Linked DNA regions of Mus musculus. The protein of the gene in region 1 interacts with the protein of each later gene in a pairwise test. Links are inferred from orthologs where the notes say so. Each region holds a gene or a part of one and is shown on either strand. Other genes may lie near its edges.

Evidence for each region. The genes of interacting proteins can lie anywhere in the genome.
Region 2: the proteins of Trim23 (region 1) and Cox5b interact in binary tests that used the Homo sapiens proteins (3 or more experiments, as listed by UniProt). The two-hybrid records come from large-scale screens. The link is inferred for Mus musculus from reciprocal best matches to the Homo sapiens genes TRIM23 and COX5B.

What each region holds. Positions count from the first base shown.
Region 1 is NC_000079.6:104,199,293-104,202,940, forward strand, and holds part of Trim23 (E3 ubiquitin-protein ligase TRIM23), read left to right. Parts: intron 1-776; coding exon 777-901; intron 902-1,938; coding exon 1,939-2,118; 3' UTR 2,119-3,648.
Region 2 is NC_000067.6:36,690,069-36,693,942, reverse strand, and holds Cox5b (cytochrome c oxidase subunit 5B, mitochondrial), read right to left. Parts: upstream 2,457-3,874; 5' UTR 2,357-2,456; coding exon 2,254-2,356; intron 1,733-2,253; coding exon 1,659-1,732; intron 1,493-1,658; coding exon 1,393-1,492; intron 747-1,392; coding exon 634-746; 3' UTR 555-633; downstream 1-554. UniProt on the Homo sapiens protein: Component of the cytochrome c oxidase, the last enzyme in the mitochondrial electron transport chain which drives oxidative phosphorylation.

The sequences.
Region 1 (3,648 bases):
GTTTTGGCTAGGCACCAAGGGGCACATATCCCAGTGTTCCATCTAGACTTACTTCACACCTGGCTCCATTCTACACTTTTGTGCCCCCTCCCATGAAGTATTACATACACCTATTTTATAATAATGGTGATATTTCTATTCCTTAAGATTATAGTTTTCTATGCTACTATTTTTTTTCACGTTTTTGAGACAGTATGTAGGCTTACCTGACCTTGAGCTTGCTATGTAGACTAGGTTAGCCTCAAATCATAAAGATCCATCTGTCTCTGCCTCTTGAGTGCTGGGAATAAAGGTGTGGGCTACCAGACTCAGCAGTTTTGTTGTTGTTTTTAACTTTTTAAGTTAACATACACAGTAATGAGTTTCATTATGGCATTTTTCATATGTATGCATCATTAACACTTCTCCTTCCTCCTAGCGGTTTGCCTTTCCCTAAAGAGCTCTCACTCTGCTTTTGTAAAGAACAGGCAGCCTTAAGGGAGATCTTAAGCACATTTTCAGGGGACAGGTTCTGAGGGACAGGTGTTTTTTTTTTTTTTTTTTTTTTTTGGTAGATTCAGTTTTATAAAACCTGTCAGAGGAGGAGAACCTGTGAAGCTATCTAAACTCTTCCTGAATTATTGCTTTAAGGCTTTAAGTAGTGACATTAAGTAGGTAGGTAGCCTTTAAATGAAGATAGGGTAAATAAGATTTAGCAAGAATAATGAAAGCAATTAATACTTTTTAATTTACTTAAACTTAATAAATAACTTGAAAATTTCTGTGTACTTTTGTAGCTGTTGTATTTGTTGTTGATAGTAGTCATAGAGACAGAATTAGTGAAGCACACAGTGAACTTGCAAAGTTGTTAACGGAAAAAGAACTCCGAGATGCCTTACTCTTGATTTTTGCTAACAAACAGGTAATGAATTTTTATATCAACATTTATTACTTTGGTAGTTTTGCATATTCCATATCATAAGTCATTTGAGAAGATATCAAAGAATCAATAGATACTTGTAAATTTCTGCTGTGGAAAATGTTACCTTCGATATTGTAGAGTATATGCACATACAAATCAAGTAAATGCATTCTTGTGTGTTCATGCTATATTCTAATATATATAAATTAGGACATCACTTCAACAATATTAATAGAATGCTGAGACGTAAGGATAGACCTATTCTAAATTAGGTTGTATCTTAAAGTATGTAAAAGTGGATTTAGGTAGATCAGGAGTTTAGATTGGCCTGGCATATATGGCAATCTCAAAGCTAGCCTGAGTTATGCATCAAGACCTTGTCTCAGAAATAGGAAAAGCTGGAGCTGAGTGGCAGTGCTCCCATGTAACATGTAACATGTCCCATGTAACATGTGCATGGCCTTGGTTTTGATCCTTTGAATGGTTTATAGTGGGGGATTCGGTCATATGATTGGAGTTTAAATTATGATAGGATTGAACTTACAGATGTATTTGAGTTTATATGTGAAGGAATAATATTAACAGGAAGAGAAACAGTAGCATAGCTAGTTTTAGGGAGCATCAAACTAACTTATATATTAAATTCAGTTAAAGGATGAAGAAAACCTAGATTAATAGATCTGGTCATGGAATAGAATAAAAAAGTTAATACTTTATTTTGTAACATTTTTAAAAAAAAATTATTAATCTACATTCCAAGTGTTGCCTCCCTTCCTGGTTCTCCCCTTTGCTTCTGAAAGGTGCCCCGCCACCTACCCTATCATAGCTGTGATTGATTTCATTATTTATTCCTTAATATATATAGATATTCTAACCAAAACATTTTCTTAATTCTTTTAGTTAATCTTAGAATCTGAAAATGAATTTTGGTTTTGTTTAGGATTCAATCACAGTGTTACCAGTAGTTTTCTATACAATTGGTAAGAGTTAGAAAAATGATTCCTTGATTGATAGAAATCACTCTATGTGTTTTTTAGGATGTAGCTGGAGCACTTTCAGTAGAAGAAATCACTGAACTTCTCAGTCTCCATAAACTATGCTGTGGAAGGAGTTGGTATATTCAGGGCTGTGATGCTCGAAGTGGAATGGGGCTCTACGAAGGGTTGGACTGGCTGTCCCGGCAACTTGTGGCTGCTGGAGTGTTGGATGTTGCTTGATTTTAATGCAGCAGTTGTTTCATGCTTATGGTTAACAGTTACTTTGCATGTGATGCATTCTAAGAAATTCTACATCTCAAATGTGATAATTAATTTAGTATGTGTATATATGAATCCTGGACTGAGAAATGTACCATTGTTTTTAAAAAGTACTCTGTGGCAAATTTAAATGACCCTGTTACATTGGTTAAATGGAGGTTTCTTGGATATACACTTTTAAAAGGTACATTAGGCATTGGAAACTTTCAGTGTATATATGTCCTTATATTGAGAGAGAAGTGGTCACAGACAATGAGTAGAAGGTCCTTTATTTTAGTGAAAAAACAGCCAGTGGAGTGCCTAACAGAGCTTAAGGAAGTATGGCTTTACCCCACCTTTTTATTGTTTTTGGCCATTGTGTACTAGAATTGAAGCTATATTGGGGTAATAGGATTGCTTTACTTCCACATTTAGCATAACATCCTTAGTGCTGGGGTCCATAAAACATAGAAAATCATTTTTTTCTACAATTTTATTATAACTCTCTCCTAAAGCATTTTGCATAACGCACAGTGAGAATGAAATGTTACCTAAGTGGACCTGATCATTAGACCAGAACTAAATTAAGAACAATAAAACTGTGAAAGTTGTTTGATCTTCACTCATAAGAACCATTTCCAGGACTGGGCCTAAGTTTATTTCCCAGGTCATAGCCCTAAATTGCTCCTTTATTTGTTCAACACATTTTCTTAGGCTAAGTAATGTGCATCCTTTGTTGGTAAAGTGTCGTAAGTCACATGAAAAACCTGTCACCTTTACATAAACACATTGAGACCTAAATAGGAAACTACCTATACCTTAGGAAAGGTTTTTCAAACAGTGGGAATGCTAATTTCTTTAACATGGTTTTCCAAGTTAAGTGCATTTACTTGACAATAAAAAGGATCAAGGCTCTTTAGGACAAGGTCTCAGTTAAAAGGAAGAACATGTCTAAAGTAAAAGAAACTTTTATAAAAAGTTTACATTTACTATGGCAGTGTTGTGAATAAAAATTAAATTTTGTGTTCTTACAGTTTATTTGTAAAAGATACTCTTATTATGGAAGCATGATTTCTTATATTTAAATAGGTAGATCTCCTGTTACTAATGCTCTTTAAGATGAAGTTGAGAGCTAAATCTTAGTGCAATTGTTACAAGGACAGTGATTTTTAGGTGGCAATGTTCTGGTTCAGTTTTTTCAAATATACTTTTTTTTTTTTAAACTTAGGAGCCAGCACTATAAAAAGCCCATCAAATATTATGGGCAGTATGTAAATAAAAATATAATAATTTGCCATTTTTCAAGAAAGTAACCGGTCACGCTGTTACAAGTAGTTTGTATGCATATGTAATACTTTGTAATTAAATTATTTAATATTTGACTGATTTTAGTAACTGTGAAAAATAAAGATGTTGCATTTATTTGTGAGACTTTGAATTGTTTTCTGTAGTAGGTAACTGAAAATATGTTGACACTAAGATGTGAACTTGCTTTTCTTGTAAATTAAGAAC
Region 2 (3,874 bases), on another chromosome or scaffold:
GCAGAGATCACAGTGACAGTTCTCACTGGAGGACAGAGTGGGCTGGAGCTCTGTAACGTCCTTCCCCTAAGTCCTGCGTCAGGGTTAGTGTCTCTGTAGCATATGGCCCAGTTATTCAGTCATTAGCAGGGCAAAACGGAACCATGAAGATCTGAGCAAGGTCAGCATATTGTCACTGCTCTTGCCCCTAACAATCCCCCTTGGTTTTTGCCCCCTCTACATTATATAAAAGTTAAAATTTAAAAGAATTTTTAGCCAGGCTGTGGTGGCAGATACTTTTAATCCCAGCACTCAGAATCTGAAGTCAAGGCAAGCCTGGTCTACAGAGTGAGTTCCAGGCCAGCCAAGGCTACACAGAGAAAAGAGAAACCCTGTCTCGAAAAGCAAACAAATAACAGCAACAACAAAAAGTTTAAAATTTTTTAAAAATAAAATTCTAACAATTCTATACTGGTTTTACATTCTAAGTGGATGCCAAACTAGTATTAAGAGATAGGTGGTCTCAATATATATATATTAAAAAAAAAAAGACTATAGACATAAGACTAGCCAGCTATGGGAGGAGCCAGTGCAATGGCTAATCTTTATTAGAGAGAAGTTTTTCTTTACATTCTGAAAAGATAACACAGGGGCTCAGTGGGCCATTTGGTGGGGCACCAGCTTGTAATGGGTTCCACAGTTGGGGCATCGCTGACTCTCGCCTTTGTGCAGCCAAAACCAGATGACAGTACAGTTGTCCTCTTCACCTGAAAGGGAAAGACGGTTGACAGTCATCCAGCGTCCATGTACAGAGGGAGGCTTTCAGCATTCACCTCTTTCCTACAGACACTTCGGACACAGCAACAAAACTGCCACTGACTAGGAGACCACTTCACGCTCCGCTCCTTCAAATGAAAAAGCGGGGATGCATTTACCTGTGAGTAAGATAACCTTGTATGGGGTCACTGTAGGTTCTAACAATTCCAGTCCCTATGCAAAATTCCAAAACAGGATCTGTACTCATGTGTATCCCTAGTGCTTGAAACAAACAGTACCTGGCATATGTATGTACATACGTGTGTGTGTGTGTGTAAATAATCTGGGCTGGAAAGATAGTTCAGCAATTAAAAGCATGGACTGCTCTTCCAGAGGACCTGAGTTCAATTCCCAGTAGCCACAGCAAAGTGGCTCACAGCCTTGCTTGTAACTACAGCTCCAGGGTCATCTGCCTTCTGTGACTTCTCATGCATACTGAGACTTAAGACAGTCAACAACCCTTACAACAATGTATACACATATTTACATTTTTACACACATACAGTCCATCATACACACATATCTGAAGCAATTTATAGACATTCTGTGAGGCAGGTTATAAACAAATGGGCCAGAAAATAAAAACAAAGTGCTTACAGATGCAGCCCACTATTCTCTTGTTGCTGATGGACGGGACTAGATTAGGGTCTTCCTTGGTGCCTGAAGCTGCCTTTGGAGGTAGCATATTGTATGGGTCCTGAAAGAGACAAGAGTTGACTATTTATGACAGATAACGCCTGCCACTGCACTGCAAAAGGGCCGTTCCTACAAGCTGGGTTGTCAGGACCAGACGCTGGCTGACAGGAACTCCTCTAATCCCATCCAAGCCCCAGGGCTCCAGAGGACACAGCATTTCTCCTTACCAGTCCCTTCTGTGCTGCTATCATGATCTCCCTCTCCAGCCCAGTAGCCTGCTCCTCATCAGTGGGGACACCACCTAGAAGAAGAAAAATGAGCTACGGCAATTGATATGACCACGATGGATACACGATAAAAAGATCAACACGGGAAAGGTGACGTTATCCGCTTCTTTGGTGGGTTCCCAAGCTACCCATTCCCACAGTCCCCTAAGCCCACTGAGGCATGACTCCCAAGCCATACCGTTTTTCCCTTCCCACCGCGGAAGCTTGGTTGTCGACTTTCCCTACAATCAAGTCATGAGAGTATACTGGCTGGTGGCGGGCAAGGGATTTGAATGTTGGTCCAGCGCTTTTTCAGCCCTCCAAGTCCTTGTGTTCCAAGGTCACCCGGCACCTTCCAGTGAGGGCACTTTGAAAGCGGGTTCGATCGGGTGGGCGGCCGAAATTACAGCAAGACCGGACAGAGCGCCGGCTCCCGGAGCCTAAGGTGGTCAGCAGGGCTCGAGAGAACGCTAATGGCCGACCCCGCTCGACCGCCCATCACCAACCACGCCGGAGGCCATGGACACCGGCCTGTCCCGCCCAGCTGGTCACGTACCTCCAGAAGCCATGGAGCGGGTCACGGCCGCGCCACGGGGGCCGTGGGCCCTCAGGGCCTGCGCCGCCAAAGCGCCCACTCCGCGAAGTAACCTTGAAGCCATCTCGCCCGAGACAAGCAGATGCACTTCCGGGAACAGGCTGAGCAAGATGGGCGGGACTTCCGTTGGTGGGAGTCTAACAACGCCCGGTCAGTCTTCCGCTTCCTGCCCCGACCAGCCGAAGCAGCGCTAAAAGTAGACGCCGCACATGCGCAGTTCTGCCTCTTCGTGGGCCGCGCAGACTCCCGCCGCCTCCGGGGCGTGGCGTCAGTCACCCTGACAGCTAGCGGCTTTCGGGTTCATGACCTGTCCGCTTGAGTGTTCGCGCCCAGTGTCCCAGCCACATAGTAGTTCTTGTAGTGGAGGTGCTGTGGAAGCCGAAGTTCCCGCAGTCAAGGGCTTCCACCACGAATCATACAACCTTGGGCGTGAGCTCAGGAAGCCTGTTGTGTTTGTTATGCCTGTTAGCCACGGGTTCGAGACTGCAGACAGCTTTAGTTGTTACCAAATTGTTGCAATGGCCCACTCCGTCAGAAATTGACAGTACACCCCCCCACACACACAGTCTTAGCCTCAATTCCCTCCTCCACTCTGTTTTGTTTTGTTTTTTAAGCACGGTATCACTATGTAGCCTGGCTGACCTTTAACTCCCTATGTAGATCAGGGTGGTCTAAAGCTCACAGAGATCTGGTTACCTCTGCTGGGATTAAAGCTGTTGCACCGTCCTCAGTTTTCCTCCTATAGTAATGTTATGGGAGGTGATGGTGTTGGCCCCAGGGACAAGGATGAGGGGGGTGCGGGGGGTGCGGTGCAGAAGGGCTTTGGAGGCATAGATGTAGGATACCTCCTGATGGCCACTCCACCACGATGAGGATACTAGGAGGAGGAGGGACAGAAAGAAAGTTAATAATGCAACTGGAAATGACAATAGGCACCGTGGCCAGAAGTCTCTAATTTAGACAGAAAACGTCCTCCATTGCTCAGTGTTGCACACAGGTAAAGCCTGACAACTCACGGCAGAGCGTTCACTAGATTTCCAAACACTGGCTTCTTCGATTTATTCTCGTTGTGGAACATTCCTGAAACACTATGGCTGCATACAGTATCTATGCTTCCCTAATTGCGTCCCAGTGATGAAATCTTAAGTACCTTGCAGAGGCCTGACATAATAATATCAAATGACTTTTAGTAAATCCTGCCGCTTGGACCAAAAATATAGTTTATAGAGCTTGTGACTACAAAAGGTCAAGTTGAGGAAAACTACAAAGGACTAAATTCCTGGGTGTTGTCACCTACCCCTTGTAGGTTATTTTCAAAAGGGTCTGGTGGAACATTCCTTCAGAGGAACTAACCTGGTCTTCATGGCTGCCCTCAACCAAGAAAAAAAAATAGCCTATAATGAGGCACCAAATTTCTTGACTGTGAAGATGGGCTTACACTTTGCATAGTTTTCATTTTTACTTCCTTGTCTCCACTACAATCATCTGGATTAATTCCTAATTCAAGGCATCTTTCCTCCAATGAACCCATTATTGATTTGTGTCCACATTAAGAGGGAAAACCCCAGTCAGCCCCATCAGC